Cricetulus griseus: one gene and its partner. The protein of the gene in region 1 interacts with the protein of each later gene in a pairwise test. Links are inferred from orthologs where the notes say so. Each region holds a gene or a part of one and is shown in the gene's direction. Other genes may lie near its edges.

Region 1 (5,586 bases):
ACTTCCTGTCGCCCTCAAGATGTAGGACTCTCAACTTCTTCAGCACCATGTCTGCCTGCAAGCCACTATGCTCCCTGCCATGATGATAATGGACTGAACCTTTGAAACTATAAGCCATCATCTCAATTAAATTTTTTCTTTTGTAAGAGTTGCTGTGATCATGGTGTCTCTTCACAGCAATAAAAACCCTAAGACAAATATGTAATACTAAAATACGTAATTTTAGCAATTACAGTAACATATTAATGTATACAAGGGCTAAATATTAATATTTGTCCTTATGGACTGTACTTTGCAGAGTGCCCACCTAAAAGTCAAGCTGAATTCAAACTGCTAGCAGATGATTCAGCTTTAGAATGGCAGGGTCCCAGTTGGGACTGGTGGTGCACTTGTAATCCCAGCACTAGAGATGCCAAGGCAGAAAGGTTGTGAGTTCTAGACCAGCTTAAACAAAACAAAATAGAAAAATAGAATATATGCATCGTGAGAGCAGTTGGGGAGTTATTTCAGGAGAAGAAAGAGATGATAGAGAGATTCCCTAAGCAGGTAAAAGTGTTTGTCTGGCAAGAACCCACATACACAAGCCAGATTCAGTGACCCACTTACACCTGTACTTTTGGCACTCCTACTTAGAGATGGGAGGGGAAGATAGAAAGAATCATCCAGAAGCTCTAGTGGCACCTGCTCCTTACTCCCATAACAACAACATTAACAAAAGATGCTAGTCTCTCAAACATCTTCCTCTCTACTCATCCCTTTGCTTTCCCATAAGTCTATATTAGACCAGCTACTCTGTAGTCATTGTTATGTCTCCTAGTATCTCCTTCCAAAGACAAAAATAAATTTAAACAAGAAGAAAATTGTATTGAACTAGTAACCCCTGGTTGTCAAAAGACAAAAATTACAACAAATGTAGTTTAAAAACCAAGTTGACTTTTTAATTTGTGATTCTAGAATCAGAATCTGCTGAATAGGGCAGATAATACTTTTATAAGTCAAAAATGAAGGGGTGGCTGAAGATCGTAAACCCAACACAAAAACAAATAGGCTGTCAAAAACCACACTTTTAGGTTTGTTTTTATTTAATGTGTATGAGTGTTTCAAGGGCATGTATCTGCATCACTTATTTGTCCACGGAGGCCAGAAGAGGGCGTTCATCCTCTGGAACTGGAGTGACAGTAGGTTGTGGGGTACTAGCTCTGTAAAAGAAACAAATGCCCCTAACCACTGAGCCATCTCTCCAGCCTCCAAATAGCTGTTTTAAAGTTCTTGTGTTATAAAGGTTAAAGCTATAATAGCTAATAAAGCTATTATTCTGCCATGTAAAACTGGCTTGCTTAGGGATTTGGCCATAATCTGTCATCTGACTTATTGGAAGGATAACTTTCTTCTCCATGACCTGGGATTTCAACATGAGCTTTTTCTCTGACCTGCTGGACTAATCCACAAACTCCGTCCAAACCAATGACCTCTTTTAATTTCTCATTAACAAATTCATGCTCCTGTTAAAATTCAGAAGAAAACCTACGTAATACACAGACCTTTTGCACTTTCCAAAGACAACACACAAGACACTATCTTTAATTTTTTTAAGGCGTGGTCTCACTATGTAGCTCTGGTGTCAACTGTAAACAGGGTCCTATCAGTGTTCTTGATGGCAAGGAATTTGCTTCTGGCAATGTGTTATTTTAGACCGAAGTTATTGGTTACTAAGCACAGCTATAAGACCCCGGGATCTTTTTGCTGCCATCCACGTCTCTGTACTCATGAGCGGCACAGCTGTCCGGAGTGGTTCTTCGAGTGGGATTAGGAAACACTACCGTTCTAGAGAGAAGCCAGTTATTTTTCTGGCAAAGGAAAAGTTCACATCTATCGAAGTGTTTGTTTACAAAATGTTCACAACATAAACAAAGATTAGAAGAAAACTTACAAGGGACGAGGGCATAGAAACCAACCCTGGAAACGGCCTTCCCAGCTTCACGGTCCATTTTGGGTTGGCGTCAAACTTTGTAGCGGTCTAGGAAATTACGTTGAGCTCTGGGATTTGGACAGAGAGCTGTGCCTTCAGTTGCTATCCAGTGAGTTCCGCGTAACGCACACAAAAATACACTTTTCAAAGGCCGTCCTAGAATTCCAGCCGAGATAGGAACATCAGCAATAGCGCCCGGACAAAGTCTGCAGGACATGAAACCAAAACATCCTGTTTTTAAAACAATCGAAACTGAAAGTATCGCGGGTGATTGAGCGCTGCTGTTCGCAGGGACTAGGTTTGTGCTTTCGCGTTGGGATTCGGTTCTAATCGCCGCTGGCTTCCGGGAGCTGCACGGCGGAGGGGGTGAGTGCTCGTCCTGTCCCGTCTACCCCCCCCCCCCGCCCCCAAGTCAGGGATGCTCCGCGAGTCGTGGGGCGGGTTTAGGGTGGGGGCGGTGTCCAGCCCAGCCTGGTAGGTTGAAGGCTTGGGGTCGGGGTCCCGGGCTTGCTGCCTGGGGATGCGCCCAAAAGGGCGCTGTGCTCCGGCCTGGTCGTGCTTCGCCCTCCCGGGAAATGGAAACTTAGAATGAGTGTTCTTAGGAAAATCGATTTCTCAGGAAGACAATTTTTTCCTTGGCAGGCGCTGCCGTTAAAAGGAGAATATTCAATAAAAATTATAGGAGGCCACTGATTTGGGCTGAGAAGTCTTATGCACCTGAGGTGCTCATTCTAACTTGTGTGCTCCAGAAGGGAACTTTTCACGTGTCCTGCCCAACAGGGGTAGAGGGAAAGCGGCGGGTTACATTGGGCAAGAGAATGAAATCACCACTGCTTTAATCCCCCCAAAGCACCTGGATGTTCACCAACCAGTTAGTTATTCTATTTCTATCCCCGGCCCAGCCTTGCAAAGAACCTAACCTTGAATCAAGCAGTTCACTTTCTGTGTTTTGTTTTGTTTTGTTTTTTCCCCAGCTTTCTTCTCTGTTTGTAAACCCAAACCCAACTTCTGCCAGCACACACACACATCAAAATATCAGCTTTCTGTTTACATTGTGCTGGTTTTGAACTCTTGATCATCCTGTTACAGGCCTGTGCCACCATAACCAGATAGACTATTTTATTCGAAAGTGTCACCTGATTGTAAAATTGCAAAAGAAGCACTATTAGGAACTTTTTGGTTTTTGAGACAGGGTTTCTCTGAGGCTGTCCTGGAACTAGCTCTTGTAGACCAGGCTTAATTAGGAACTTTTAATTATTAAAATTTTATTCATCTTTTGACATGTTTCTGGTCTATACAACATGCATACATTATGTTTCTTTCTTTATGCTGCCAGGCCCAACATGGTGATGTAAATATAGTTAGGAAGAATAGTTTGTTTGTTTTTTTAAAATTTACTGCCATAATAAATTACATGACCTTGGTGGCTTATACACAGATGCACATACACACTTCAATTTAAAGATATTTATTTTTAGTGTCATTTTAAAATTGGATGTGCTTATGTGTGTCTGTATGTGCATGGACTGGGGTCCCTTTATGAGCCACTTGATTTGGGGCCTGGGAACTGAGCCTGGGTCTTCTGCTAGATGAACGGACTGTTAGGTACAGAGTACCGCCTCTCCATCCCCATACTTCTCAGCTGTAGGAGTCTGAAGGTTTCCCAGGGTACAGTAAAGGCGCTTGCTGAGAGCTGTCTTCCTTCTGTCCTGGAAGCTCTTGGGATGAATCCCTCTCCTTTGCTTGGCTCAGCATCCTTCTGTCATCTTCAAAGACAGTATCAGCATTACTTCTCTGATTATGTCTCTGCCTCATACTCAGTCTAACTTTTGTGTTGTTCCCTCTTTAACTCAGTCCTTCTGGATTAAGTTGAGTTTTCGTGAACAATGTAGGATGTTGTCCATATTTTATTCATTTATTATTATTATTTTTTTTGTGTGTGTGCATGTGTGTACATACTTGGGCATGTACCTGTGGAGCTTAGAGATGGAAGTCTGGTATCCTCTTCTACTTTGCTGAGTCAGGGTCTCTCACTGGACCTGCATCTTCCTGATTGGCCAGGTTGGGTGACATCATCACACCTTGTTTTCTATGTGGGAGGCCAGGATGGAAGGTACCAGTACTTACCCAGTAGGCACTTTCCCCCTGAGCCATCTCCCCAGCCTCTATGTCCATATTTTAAAGACAGACAATCAGCATCCTGAATTGGGTTTGCAGCCTCAAATCTCTACGATCTTGCTCTTGCTATTCACACTATGCTCTCGATTCTCTGTCTCCTGCTATTCTCTCCTCTCTCACAGATAGCCCTGGCTATGTCCAGTCTGCTGACCGTGTTCAGTCTACTTCCTCTCTCTGCTCTGGACTCTTCCAGATGCCTCTAGATGTTTTCTCTTGTTCATAATAAAGACCTTAACCATACCATGGAGCAGTCATGTTGGCAGGTCCTTTAATGAGCCTCGCTCCTGCTCCTATGCAATTAGGGAAGTGAAATTCTTCAAAATACAGACGATGTTTGGCTGTAAGTCACATGACAAGACTTAGATGATAGAAAAAAAAACAATACAAAGCAAAGAAGGCATGTTTCTTGCACAAAAGGGTAAAATCTGTATTTTCTTTTTTTTTCCTTGAATTTGTGTTGTATATGGTTGTAAAAGCACCCCCTTTTACTAGAAAATCATGGATGCTGATACTGACAACAAAAAGCACTCACCAGAGAAAGAAGTTATGAAAACTGAACAAAATGAGGTAAAATTATTAGTAGATGCTGTTAAGAATGATTTGTGCCTTTTTTTGTTTGTTTGTTTGAGATAGGGTTTCTCTGTGTAACAGTTCTGGCTATCATGGAACTTATTTTGTAGACCAGGCTGGCCTTGAATTCACTGAGATCTGACTTCCTCTGCCTCCCAAGTGCTGGGATTAAAGGCATGTGCCACCACTGCCCGGCTGTGCCTGTTCATTTTTAAGTAACATGCACTTTTTGTCTGTGCTAAATATTACCTTGGCATTGTAAGGCTTTGGGGCTTTTCTAAAGATCCTTACATTTGTTGTATTGTAAAACTTTATACTAAGAGTTGTGTTCCAATGTGTTTTCTTAAAAAATTAAGTGTTTTCTCACCTTCTTTTTTGGGTTTATAGCAGCAAGTGAAATGTGAGCAATTACCTAATGAGACCCAAGTGGGAACAGAGGCCCAGGTGCTCAGAGATGTTAGCAAGGCATATGTTTCGTTGTCAAAGCAGTTGACTACTCTTGGAATCATTGCTAATAAACAGAGAAAAAAAAAAACCACCAATAACCCCACCTAAAAATAAAACAAACAAATAGAAAACAACAACAACAACAACAAAACCAATAAAAAACTGCCTCAGTGTAATGTGTCCACAATTACAGTGCAATTGAAAGTCATATTATAGTTACAGATAGCTTAGAAAGGAGAATTTAACTAAGTCCAGGAGGTCTGAGTCTCTCACTCCTTGCCTTAATTGTAAAATATTCTGTATCTAATGTGGAAGACAACACTTTCTTTGATCATGTAATAGAGCTAAAGAATCTTGGTAGGATTAGGAGAACTGCCAGGGCCTGGAGAGATGACTCAGCAGTTAAGAGCACTGCCTGTTCT
Region 2 (4,346 bases), on another chromosome or scaffold:
CCAATCCTGCAGTACCTCCCCACCCCTGGAGCTCAGCTTCCCAGGCTGCATAAGGGGAGTCAAACAGCCCACTTTTTAGGATCCCTGTGAGGACTGAATGAGTCTTCAGGAAAGGGTCTAGCTCAGTATTCCACATATAGTTGGGACTCAAGCAGATTGGCACCCTTGCCTGTCCCCATTCAGAGTGGGGGTTATCCAGCTGACACATGGATGCATATAAAAACCATAGTCCTCTCCATGATGGTGGCATCTGCATTCACATGGGGTCCAGGAATTACCTTCATCCTGTCTACTAAGCAAATGGAAAAACTGGGGCTTAACCACGAAGGGCAGTGTCATCTCATCTTTGCCGGCTTGCACCAAATGCAGTAAGGACCTCAGTGGTCCCAAGAGGTCACCAGCCTCAAGCCCAAGGTTGGGGCCACTGCCCTGGTGGTGATGGGGAAGGGAGGGGAGGCCAGGCTGGTCCATGGTAAAACCACAGGGATAGTGGGAGTTACCTGTGGGTCACTGTCCTGATCCTGACTCTGAGTCTCTGGGCACAGAGTGGTGGGATGACAAACTACACGCCAGAGGCAGCTCAAAGACCTGGGACTCATTGCCACCCAGCAAGAGGAAGAAGGCACCTCTCGTTTCTGGTATCCTTCCACTCAAAGTCCCCTGAAACTGGGCAGGACAAGGCAGGCCCTGGACTCAGGGAAGTTAGAGGGATTGTGTGGGACAGAGTCAAACTAGAATCATTTATGGTCATTTGGTGTCACCTGAAATGTCCAGTTGTCAGGATTTTCTTCTGTGTCCTATGTCCTCTTGAGCTCAGTGGACCCCAAAGAAACAGAAAACTCAGCTCACTGACTCATAGTAATTTCCTGAGAAAGGATCAGCCTTTGGAGCCTTGTGGCTTTCCCTCAATGTCCTTATATTTGGTCAAACTCCATGCTCTCAGGCCTTGCTTGACCCTTCTGGAGCTATTGCTTGTCTGGGCAGGGGTGTCATGTCAGATGCTGTGTCCTCTGAGGTCTCTCCTGGTCCATAGCCCCCAGCCCTATACATGTGTTCTCTTCTGTATTGAACAGTGAGACAGGGGACTCACTGTCTTTGACTCTCATGTGCTGCACAGCATAGCACTGAGATCTTCCACATCCACAGTGTCAGCCCTGGGACCACCTCAGGATGGAGGTGGGATGGAGATTTTATTGAACCATTGTGGGTAAAGGTAAATTTCAGATCCATAGCATAGTGTGCTATCAGGAGGGAAGAGGCCACTATTTACATTTAGGTGAGGAAGGGTCCAATGAGCCAGTTCCTGACAGAGCCAGACAAAGCAGCAGGAGCAGGGCCCCTCAGGATAGGATGGGCCTTGGTCAGCTGATCTGGAAAAAAAAAAAATATGAGTGTGTGTGAAGGGAATGGGTAAGGTTTTGTGCCCACCACAATCCCCACACTCACCAAGAACTAGGGTCCCTGAGGCAGGAGGTGGAGCTTGGATTAAGCCCAGGGTCTTACTGAGTGTAAAGGCACACACCTTTAATCCCAGCACTCAGGAGGCAGAGGCAGGCAGCTCTCTGTGAGTTCCAGGCCAGCCAGGGCTACATAGAGACTGTGTCTCAAAAAATAAAAAGGCTCTTGTCACCCCCTCCACACTACCGATGTACCACCTCTCCTAAGCAGGAGACAGGTGGCACTGCCACCTGTGGCCATCCAGTGGAGCCTTGTCCCCTGTCTCCTGTTGTCATCTTTCTTCCTTGACCCCTGTGCAGGCCCATACATTGTATACATGCTGCAGGAGATCGACATTCTGGAAGACTGGACGGCTATCAAAAAGGTAGGTCTGCTGCTGCCTGTTTACCCATCCTGCTCTGCCACCCCCACCCCTCTCTCATACACTCATGACAGCTCTGGTATCTGAGGGTATTTAGGGAGTTTTCTGCCTGCCCCTCAGCAATATCTGCCTCAGCCCTGGTACCAACTTTGTGGTAGCTTATTTGTAGTCCTCCTAGACTGACCTGAGGAAGGAAAAGGATGTGTTCTGGTTAGCCGTTGGTCCAGACAGGTTTTTTTTTTGTTGTTTTTTTTTGTTTGTTTGTTTTTTGTTTTTTTTTTGTTTTTTTTTTTTTCTTCCCTGAGACAGGGTTTCTCTGTGTAGCTTTGGAGCCTATCCTGGCACTCGCTCTGGAGACCAGGCTGGCCTCAAACTCACAGAGATGCGCCTGCCTCTGCCTCCTGAGTGCTGGGATTAAAGGTGTGCGCTACCAACGCCCGGCCAATCCAGACAGTTTTGATGAACAAGAGAAAAGCTGCCCCTGAGAGAGCTTGGTGTAGGGAGTTTTTTATATTTCATGCAATTTGACTCAGCAGCTTTCACCCTTGGTGTAGAGGGGGCAGTGTCAACAAGTTAAAGTAGACTCTAAAGGCCCCTGTCTTCTCTACACCCAGGCCAGGGCAGCAGTGTCTCCTCAGAAGAGAAAACCAGATGGTAAGAACCAAAGAGGTGGCCCTGTCAGAATCCATAGCTTGATCTCACTTTGAGGATTTTGTGGGAGTTTGGGGAATAGGAACCAGATTGGCAAGGACTTGTAAAGGTAAAATGGAGGGCCCAGTGGTAGAGTGCTTGCCTAGCATGGGTAAGCCTCTGGTCCCAAGTTCAGCACCACAGAGAGATAAAGGTGGACTGGAGCTGGCCCGCAGCAGGGTGGGTCAGAGGGCAGGGAAAGGAAGCCCTGTGGGTGAGGGGAGTATGGTGTTTCCCCAGGGCCTCAGGCAGTGGTTGTTCTCTTTGATTCACCTTCCTTGTAGTGATTTTCCCATTGCCCCTAGGACCCTGACACTGCATTTCCACTCAGAGGGTCCTTGGAGCAGCTGGCACCACACACAGGACTAACATTTTTCTGCAAAGGCAGGGGGTTGCCTGGTAGTCCTCCAGTGTTACTGCTGTCCCCTGACCAACACTGGCCTGGGCTCCTCTGCTCTCCTTGGGATCTGCATAGCCGTGACCCTGAAGCTGACCTGGCCAAGCAAGACTCCGTTCCTGCCCCCCCCCCAAGAGTAACTTCCTTTATTGTCCCCCCAATAAAGATAGGCTTCATATGACAGCAGCAGCCCTCCCCACTGAGCCAGGAGCTGGGGAACTCTTGAGCCAGAAACATGTTGGGGTCTTGCCCCTCCTAGCTATCGCTGGAGATGGCATCTTCCCAGACTTTCTCAGGGCCATTCCTGGTGTCTGCCTCCCAGATTCTAAAGACTGGAATAAAACTCATCCTTGGACCTTGACCAGTGTGTGTCTGCTGTTCTCTTAAAAGGAATCAAGGCTTTATGGGGAACACCTGGGACAGACTCTTCTGGGGTCCCTGTTGTTCAGAACATTGTGACTTAGAAACGAGCCTGGGCCCAGAGCTGGAGTCTACACGTGGTGTGGCCCAGGCAAACAAATGAAGCACATGGCCTTGGATGAAGGCATGCCTGGAGGCCAGGTCATGTCTGCACCTGCCCCAGTCACTTGGCAGATTGGCAGGCAGGCTGGCAGGGCCTGTGTGTGGGAGGCAGCTAGCAGCAGCACCATGTGCTGACAACCTCACAGCCACACTCTCCCCTGGTTAGCATGAGTGTCAGAACCACCCCCAGAACCTCAGTTAAGCAAAGGGTTTAGTTTCCATGGAGACACAGCATCCTTTCTCCATAGCAACCTGAAATCACAAAACCCAAGTTAGGTTCAGGAATGAGTCATCTGTGACCAGTAGGGGGTGCTCTCCCACAAGGGTGACCCCCTCCAAGGCAGAAGCAGATGAGCAAGTGACCACAGACTTCTTGAGGTGACACAGGGGTGAGACTTGGGCCTGTGGGAACTTGGTCTGCCCTGTTTAACTCCTCCCTACCCAGCTGCATAGTGTGAGGTTCTATATGAGGAAACGCTGTGTGGAGGTGGTCCTCCCACAGCTGAGGCCCTAATAGTGACACTAACATAAAGGGGGCCCCTGCCATTCAAGGCTGGGCCCAGAATAGAAGTGGACACTGGCCACATGGAGTGGACATACAAGAGTTAACTGGCGGGGCGTGACAGGGTGAACCGCCTTCAGGAAGTGTTACTCACCGCTAGGAATGTGCCCGCCTGTGCCTTGGGGGTTGGATTCTCTTCCTGAGTCCCAGGAGAAGCTGAAGGAGCTCCTAGCCATGGAAGACCCTGGGGATACAGAAGCACACCCTTTGGGAACTGCCAACCTAAACTTTGTTCCTGGGCACCAACAGAAAGAAAAGTTAGTGAAGTTGGGAGGGCAACTGGGTGCAGGGGGTGAGGGCAGTGACAGGAAGGTCTGGCAAAGACAGATGGATAGGTGGGAAGCCCAGGACGGGGA

The links.
Region 2: the proteins of Nmi (region 1) and Brms1 interact in binary tests that used the Homo sapiens proteins (3 or more experiments, as listed by UniProt). The link is inferred for Cricetulus griseus from reciprocal best matches to the Homo sapiens genes NMI and BRMS1.

Annotation. Positions count from the first base shown.
Region 1 is NC_048599.1:122,375,500-122,381,085, forward strand, and holds the start of Nmi (N-myc-interactor), read left to right. Parts: upstream 1-2,197; 5' UTR 2,198-2,335; intron 2,336-4,623; 5' UTR 4,624-4,645; coding exon 4,646-4,714; intron 4,715-5,586. UniProt on the Homo sapiens protein: Acts as a signaling pathway regulator involved in innate immune system response.
Region 2 is NC_048596.1:54,237,027-54,241,372, reverse strand, and holds the end of Brms1 (breast cancer metastasis-suppressor 1), read left to right. Parts: intron 1-545; coding exon 546-638; intron 639-1,757; coding exon 1,758-1,822; intron 1,823-2,433; coding exon 2,434-2,473; intron 2,474-2,814; coding exon 2,815-2,822; 3' UTR 2,823-3,267; downstream 3,268-4,346. Other genes in the region: Rin1 (ras and Rab interactor 1), read left to right, coding at 4,093-4,247. UniProt on the Homo sapiens protein: Transcriptional repressor. Down-regulates transcription activation by NF-kappa-B by promoting the deacetylation of RELA at 'Lys-310'. Promotes HDAC1 binding to promoter regions.